Linked DNA regions of Saccharomyces cerevisiae S288C. Changing the gene in region 1 together with any one later gene gives a genetic interaction. Each region holds a gene or a part of one and is shown on either strand. Other genes may lie near its edges. The genes, in order: FRE2 and FRE7.

Region 1 (4,601 bases):
AAAAGACGACAACGTTGGCGTCGCGAAAATATTAATAGAACCATATGTTGGATAATGTAGCCTCTATTATACACTTATCCCGATTACATTGTTTTAGCGACGGTAATCATCTTTTTATCCGGCACTCTGAATCAAACTCTATCTTTAAGTATCCTATATGCATGAGTTATGTCGATTATATCGAAGACTCGGTGTGTGATATTACTCCACAGTACAAAAACAGGAATACAGAGAAAATTGAAAAGATATATGAACGGATGGTATGGTAAATAAAATAACAGCCATTATAAAGCTTGTGGTAAATTTTCCAGGACGGAAGTTAGCTTATGCAGTTTTGTTTATCTTCCTTGCATCTGTGTATAATACTGAAACACGCAATTAACGTTTCATAAAATTTGCCTGAGGGCCGTATAAAAATTCAGTGACCATTGTTCACACTTTAAATATAGCCAAATTGCCAAGAAAGGGTTTCATTGCAGGTTTATCGAAATATTAACTCTTTAAATACAGGGACTATACAGAGCTAACTTCTTAAGAAAAAAAACCATGCGACACACTACGACTTTCACAAATTCCATAAAAGAGATATTTAAGATTTAGATAAAATATCAAAGGACTGCTGTACTCTGCTTCAATTACCTCCTTACCATAAAGTTATAGGCAGCTTTCTCCATCGACATACTAAAATTTGGATAGGTATTATTAATGAAATGACTAGTTTTAAGTAAAAAATGATCACCAGCATTGATACTCTTCAAAGTACTCAATGGCTTTTGCAGACTTATCTAAAACTATTTTTGCGGTTTCATTCCTCACTTTGTCAACAAAAATAGGAGGTCCACAGCAAACCACAGATAATGAGCCACTCAATTCAGCCGCTTCATGTAGAAGTTCCTTAACATTTGGTCGCCCGCAATGGAAAACAACACCATCAAAACCAAGTGGATTGGCAGACTTTTCTAAAGTAGTTGCCACAACAGTGCCTTTTTCATCAGCCTTCTCATCCTGTTGAGAAATATCTAAACTATCACTAGGGGTTAATGATGGGACTTCCATTGTGTTGTAGATGTGAAGCTGTACATTCAGATTTTCTAAACACATCAACTCCGGCTTATAAGCCTCGAGTACGTCGAATCCTCTAACTGCAATCACTAATTTTACAGATTGTTTTCCAGCAGCCGCTGACGTCTTTCCAAGTTTAATTGCATGTGCAATAGGTCCAGGCAAACCGGTACCTCCAGTGAGTAACAATACATTATTGTAATTATTGACCGGAGATGAAGAACCATATGGACCTTCTATAGCTAGTCTCATAGATGTCTTACCTCCATTGCGACACACATACTTTTTGACAAGTCTTGTTACTCCCTTTTTTTCTTTCAGGATAATAACCAGTTCACCATTCTTGCTTACTGAATCCAAAACAGTAAATGGATGTGACTGCCAGAAGTACAGTGGATGTAAAAACGAAACGAAAACATATTGCCCAGGTTTGGCCCTCCATGGCCTTGCCGGTTTTTTAACTGTTAAACGAATGAGATCATCCCCGATTAGTTGTAGGGAAGCTTTGGGGAAACCAAAATAAGAAGCTTTGATAATTCTAATAATCCGGTCAACGATCCAAATCGCAATAGCAGTGTATATCCACTCAATGCCACTTAAACTAACAACATGCTCCCAACATGCATAAAAGAACATTGCACCAAGGACGATATGAAGAAAAAGAAAGGCTTCATAAAAATACTTCCTGAATACTGCAAAGGAAAAGAAAACCATTGTGCCAGCTAAACAAAGTGCTGCCACCCCGAATTGCCAATATAATCGGTTTTTACTTGTTGCCCAAGTTTTATTCGCTACCGTATAACTAGTATATGCAGAGCCATGAATCATAGCATCCAAAAACATCATTCTTCCCAACCATTTGTGAAACATAATGAAGGAAGTATATTTAACCCCAGAAATATACTCGAGAAAGTTGTTTCTTCCCGCGAAAAGAACTATTAATGGAAAGTGTGCGAATGCGAGTACACCACTTCTGTCTGCCACATATCGAGCAACTTGAACTCTACGAGACTTGAATATTATATTTTCAGGATCGTATTCATAACCGTATGCCAAAAAAACGGTATGAAGCACGAGATATCCAAGAATAATGATACCCTCTAATCTTGTAGGTAAATATCCTGTGAATATTCTAAAATAAGAGAAATCTGACGCATGTTTGCTTCCAATGGTAGGTAGAGTGAGGTATCCCCTTACATATCCCACAAGCTTTTGCTTCAATAGAACAGTTTTAAAGGGAGTGTAATTCATGCAATGAAGAACGCCTGCAAAAGCCATGATAGCGACAAAATAAGCACATATAATGCCACCATATATGTTTCCGACATCTAAGTTAGCATAGAAACCATGCAATGCATGATAGTAGGCTTTTCTTAACTGTGTATCCATTTCAACTGGATATGTTAGGTTTGCACTGCCTTTGACATAGGGCGTCATATGCCTCGTTCCGTTGTTTAGAACGTCATAAAACTCAGAATTAGTCATGTTCTGAAGAGCATCACTATAACTTGCACAGTTTTTTTTGATGGTACTAAATGTTTTTTCTAAGGTTTTATTCGAATAACCTTTTTCATCCAACGTTTCATAGATACAATACAGCATTGATTGAAACGCTGGTTCGTAAGAACATACTGGTGATGAACGCTTAGACTTGCTGGTATACTCCCAAGTAACTTTTTGAAAAATCCTCGTGCAGGCATTAGTGACAAGCAAGGGCACCTTGTTACGAATAACTGTCTTTGCAGGTGATGCTCTTGCTCCTGACAGGCAGAAAAGCAAAATAGCGCTCAAGATGGACGTCCAATGCATTATATTCGTTGGGTTTCATAAGCTTTGGATAAAAAAGACTTTATTACAACTGTAGCAAAAAATCATGTTCATTTTTTGCGACTTATATATTTAGTGGCAAATTAATGATACCTTGCAATAACCGAATTTAGAGTATGTTGTCCAAGAAAGGAGGGATTTTGTTCATCAGAAAAGAATTCAGAAAAGCAAGGAAACAGTACTATCGTTTAGAATGTAGAATGATAGGTTGCTTGCTAATTCTATTATGGCACGAATGATACACCCATATTTTCAACAAAATCAATACCCACTAGCATCATTGAGCCAACTATTTGTCAATGCAACCATTACCGGTACTTCATCCTGATTTAACGAGTCTACTTTTTTATCACGTCAAAATTTACTTGTTTTCCTGTAAACCCGAAATAAAGGCAAAAAAGACCTGGGTGCAATTACGAATAAATGTACAATAATCATCCTGTTTGCATAGTAAACTTCCAGTTAGAGTCACACAACGCAATGAATTTTGACAGTTTTCTGTGCGATATTCTTTGGTAAACGTAAAGAACAGGCAACTTTTGGTACAATGGATTCTAGCCCATATGGTTCATTTCTGGTGCATTCGCAAAGTCAGTATTTGTCTAGCTGTGTTTTCTGGCTGAGAGACATTATGATGTTATTCATTGTTATGGATATCTCTGTAGCTCATGCTGCTTATTTCTCCCTAAAAAAGTTTTTTCTCTCGAATACATTCTTGACCATTTCATAGTGAAATTCTTGTACTTATTTAAAACCAAAAATGGAAGTATTCATACATCCCCCTATCAAAAACACTCAATAAGTTTCGAATTATTCGTTCGTCTAAACAGTGTCCAATACTCAAAGGGGTATTCAAGACGGCACAAAATCAGCATCTTCCCTTATCCGTGTTCCAGAAATACCACGCTAAGGTTTTTCCTCCTACAATCCATAAAATCATTAAGGAGGCAGCTTGAAAAATCTTGAAATTCAAAAGAGTTATCTTGGGCTAATCGAAATTAACGATAACCAGAGTAGAATATTCAAGATCACAGCTCCACCTTAGTTTCGAGGTTGCTCTCAATGGTCTAGCTTAGTCATGCTTTTTGTTAAACAAATCTTGCCTTTTCTGATATTCTATAGTGTGGTCCAATCCAGATATTGGCGCATCCTAAACCAATTATAGTTCACTTATGAAGGGCAAATGAACACTCTTACCAGTTTCACAAATAATTAGTACTAGCTAGGCGGTCAAACTGACTAGCTTATTATAATATTATCGATGTAACATTTTTCCATAGTGAGGGAGGAAAATAAACCTTAAAAAAATATGCAAGGATTCTAGATTTCAGGCTAGTCTTCAACCACTTTGCACTTCCGGATTAAAGGCTTTTATAGAAAACATCTTGGTTTGGGACTATATTGCTAGGTGAAAATTTCAAAATTGTACAAAAGATCATTCTTGTTTTTTTGCCTCATTAGCTGATACAATGCGGAACTACATGGCGCTCTTTTATAAGCATCTACTATGGTACATTCTAAGTATGTGGATCTTGGTTAACACATAGACATTTTTTAACTTCTTGATATCGGTTCCGCTAAATTTGCTGATTATATTTGTTCACTAGGCCAGATCATAATGCCTGTAATATTGAGTACTTAATATCGATACTTGATATCCGAACAGTAAACGTTTGTCCGTAGTCATCGTGACTGTTGACGTATTAACTGCA
Region 2 (4,676 bases), on another chromosome or scaffold:
AGAAAATATATATTGTCGAGGATTTTTCTCCAGAGACCATGAAATGAAAAAGAATCCGAAATATGCACTCCTTCGACCAAGGCTTTAGAGCACCCTCATTTAAAGCCCGACCTGTAGTGCATATGCAAGATTAAGAAAAAGAACAGAGAGAAAAGTCCGCTTTACCATAATGTTAATTTATTCTAAATGCTCTCATTGACTTTTATTTCACCGACCCTGAGTCAAATTTTCGACCATGTTATATACATGCTATTTAGTAATCAAGTGATTAATTTTACCGAACTCAAAGTTGCAGCCGCAGAAAATAGTCATCTGATAATCTTATATATAGATCCGACTTATTAAAGGACATAATTTTCAAAGAATCGGGTACGTGCCTAATGCAATCATGTCGTGTCAATCAACTTCCCCCATACTATATCATTGTTTTACGCCACGTTAATAGGAACCAACGAATTTCTTAAAGCCAATCCTTACTGCTATTTGCAGATGGACTGACGGTTATGCATTCACTAACACCCCAGGTCTTACCGTACCACATATTTAGGTGCAATACTAATCAATTGTCTCTTGAACAGTAACGACGAAAGTATGAACTTCTTATCTATGCTATCTTCAACGTGATAGTTTATGCTACTTTGCAGATGTTTGAGTTAACCTGCTAAAATATATTAAAGCAGCTATAGTTATTTTGAGTTGGTCTATACAACTTCAGGAAAATGTCGTTTGAATATTCCTGCACAACGCTGGGATATTTACAACCAAAGATGCCACTACAAATAATAATGACATGTATATGAGAACATTGCAAACGATTAACGCTGCTCACTTAATGCTATGTAGACTTCAATATATGTCTTTGAAAAACGCTTTTCCACAATCACAGGATAGCAGAGGGATGCCTAGAGGAATACTCCCCGGCTAAAAATGCCTGAGACTGCCCATATATTCCCACGGTAATTATCCATATAATAACGAAATTGAGTTTTCTATAAGTAACATCAGCCCATCACCCATTTATTTGTTCTATAGAATACTATACTCTTTTGCTCCAGTGTCTTACCTCAAGTGGACGCGCTCTCAGTGCCAAATACAGAGACAACAAGGACCTGGAGAGTTGTTCATAACAAAAGTTTCATCATGCCACCAGCGTAATGACAGCCGCAGCAGTGTTTGACCAATTGAACTATGATAAAACTACATTATGGTTTCTGACTATGTCTGTACATCCATGCATCATCTTTTGAAGTTTTTATTTTGATAGCATCCTATTTTGTGACTCTTACTTTACAAGAACGCCAACATAGGGAGTGATTGATATTCTCTGAATTTATCTGGATACAGCCAATGACATCCTGAAATACCTATAGTGACAGTAGCGCATTTCCTGGTCATTTATTAATGGTTTTAGACACAAAATGAAGATAACAGATAATACGAAAGTATCTTAAACTGCAAAGGGGATCTATACGCCACGACTTACTGAACATCTCTGACCAATAGAAGATCCCTCAAGTTTATTAGGCAACTACAGTATGTTATTACAAGAGCATACGCCTGTATTTGGATGGCCAATGAACAAGGAGGATATTTTTTCCACATATAAGTGACCGCCATTAAACAAGACATGTTTGAAATAACCTCCTTCTGTCATACTATGTGCTCACTATTTTCAGAAAATGCGGTTGAAAATCCTCGTCTGCGCAAATTGAAAAAGTCGATATACGTTTCAAGTAACGCAGCCGAAATGCCCGTTTGCCAAGCTTATTATATTTGGAAAAGTGTCAAATTATAGTGCTCGCATCTGGATGTACCGCGCATATTTCTTAGTTAAGCAGGATGTATAACTGCGCATTAATACGTGAGCATTTGCGCAAATTCACTTCTTAAAATCTCTGAAGTACTTCTTCATTATGCACTCGTTTGTTCTCAAGATCATATAAACCATGCCTTTATTACCAATACTAAAAGTTTTTTATTGCAAGTAAAGGGATATTTCAAATTTTTATTTCAAAGTTTATTTATATACATCGATAAATAATAAAATGATTGAAGAAAGAGATTTGGTTTTAAGCAATGGTATCCATTGTATTGCTGACATCCACTCCGAACTATACGCCAGGTTAAAAAAAGAATCGCAGGCAGCGACACCATGGGTGTACCAAAAACAATACGGAAAATTCGTCACTTACTTTGTCGCTGTGATAATTTTTTTGTCTTTGATAAAAAAGCTGGCATTTATGTATTATGATTCCAGTGAGGAATTTCTTCCAGAAAAGAAGAACTCGCCGACTACCCCTTCTGTATTCCTTGCTCGAATAATGACGAAACTTGTCGCATTCAACAGATACATTTGCTACAGGAAATTTCCCACGTTGATATTTTCTTATTTAGGTATTCCGACATCTGTGGGTACTTTTTTAGTAGTAATGGCTACCACTTTATACACACTTCTATACTGCTTTGTTCCTCATCCATTCTACAGACCTTGTGCAGGATTTGGTTCGCCGCCTTTGTCTGTTCGTGCAGGCATAATGGCAATATCTTTGGTTCCGTTTGTATTCTCACTTTCCGGGAAGATCAACGTTATAGGTTGGTTGGTTGGGCTTTCGTATGAAAAAATCAACATATACCACCAATGGGCATCCATTCTTTGTTTATTCTTTAGCTGGGTTCATGTCATTCCCTTCCTACGTCAAGCACGACATGAGGGAGGATATGAAAGAATGCATCAACGGTGGAAGGCATCCGACATGTGGAGGAGTGGTGTCCCACCCATCTTATTTTTGAATCTGCTATGGTTATCTTCGCTGCCTATTGCTAGAAGACATTTTTATGAGATTTTTTTGCAACTTCATTGGATTTTAGCTGTTGGATTTTACATTAGTTTGTTCTATCATGTATATCCCGAATTGAATTCCCATATGTATCTGGTTGCTACAATTGTGGTTTGGTTTGCACAACTGTTTTACAGACTAGCTGTGAAGGGTTATTTAAGACCTGGTAGAAGTTTCATGGCCTCGACCATTGCAAATGTCAGCATAGTCGGCGAAGGATGCGTAGAATTGATCGTCAAAGATGTGGAAATGGCCTATTCCCCAGGTCAACACATATTCGTGAGAACTATTGATAAGGGCATCATTTCCAACCATCCATTTTCTATCTTTCCGAGTGCAAAGTATCCCGGAGGAATAAAAATGCTGATTAGAGCCCAGAAAGGGTTTTCTAAAAGGCTATACGAAAGTAATGACGACATGAAGAAAATTCTTATTGATGGGCCTTATGGTGGAATCGAGAGAGATATTAGAAGTTTTACCAATGTCTACTTGATTTGCTCTGGTTCAGGTATATCTACATGCTTACCTTTCCTGCAAAAATATGGCCCCATACTCCATAAGACAAACTTAGAAGTTATTACATTGGACTGGGTGGTAAGACATAGGGAGGATATATCATGGATTAGAGATGAAATGTGTACCCTCTCAAATAATTTGCGCCAGTTATTTTTAGATGGGAAAATTGTGGTTAGAATTTACGTCTGCTCGGACAGTACCGTCCCTGGTATTATTAAAACTTTCCCTCAAACAATAGACACCGCCAGTGACCAATCTGATTTAGCTAAAAGAGAAAAAGATACCGAATTCGGCCAGGATGATACTGAGTCAAATTCAACTTTCGACAAATCCAATAACGAATATAAAGGTCTCATCACCATTATTCCTTCCAAACCTGATTTGAATCAGGTCATTAATGATTACCAAATTGGGTTCAGGAACTGCTTCATTTGTTCAGGTTCTGACAGCCTAAGGTATACCGTCGGAAATTCCGTGGCAGGTTTACAGGCCAAGGTTTTTTCTAACAAAAATGTCGAAGAGTGCTATTTACACAGCGAGAGTTTTGGCTACTAGTAGGAAACAGATGGCATCCACCATGTGAAATATCATTCAAGCATTTCGGCAAAACCATGTAAATATTTGATTATTAGCGGGTAAATATGTAATAGTTATGCACTTTAATTCTTTTGTTCATCTAGAAGACAATACAACGCATTTCTTGGCTAACCATCTTACAGCCTTGAGGGTAAAGGGCGGGCAAACGAACAAAAGTACAAAATTTCCATCCTTGTTTGATAATCATTTCCTCGGACCAGATAAGAATGAGCAGCCGAAATAAACGGTAACGTGATTAAAACCGCTAGAAGAGTGTTTTTGTAAGGATGAAAACCTCAGTGAGAAAGTTGACAATATAAACATTATCAGCTTTTCTCGCCCTCTTTTGCACTTCCTGCAACATTACTTGTTCTGCAGCTTGTTTCTTCCAAATATATCCATGCTCTCGGTGTGCCACTTCTGGGGTTTCTCACCAATAACAGAACATATCCAGTATAATACATACACCATATTCACACCCTATTTCATATCATTAACCTCTTCATTTTTAAATGCCAGCGATTACTTTGACTTCTAATCAAGAACGCGAAAAAAAATTACCGCGTGAACTATGTCATATTTGCGATTTTAGGTACAATAAATATTATCATTATTATATTATGTTTGCATGTAGGTTCTACAAATACATTGTTGTACGCTATAGTTTCCTTTCAAAACTAGAAAGAATTCGTAACAAAATAATCTCCAATATTTTATAGCACCTTATTAATATCAATGCTGCAATAC

Evidence for each region.
Region 2: of FRE2 (region 1) and FRE7, extra expression of one rescues a mutant of the other (dosage rescue), as found in Saccharomyces cerevisiae (one study listed by BioGRID).

Annotation. Positions count from the first base shown.
Region 1 is NC_001143.9:8,356-12,956, forward strand, and holds FRE2 (ferric/cupric-chelate reductase), read right to left. Parts: upstream 2,872-4,601; coding exon 736-2,871; downstream 1-735. UniProt on the Saccharomyces cerevisiae protein: Metalloreductase responsible for reducing extracellular iron and copper prior to import. Catalyzes the reductive uptake of Fe(3+)-salts and Fe(3+) bound to catecholate or hydroxamate siderophores.
Region 2 is NC_001147.6:38,703-43,378, forward strand, and holds FRE7 (putative ferric-chelate reductase), read left to right. Parts: upstream 1-2,045; coding exon 2,046-3,908; downstream 3,909-4,676. UniProt on the Saccharomyces cerevisiae protein: Cell surface metalloreductase. May be involved in copper homeostasis.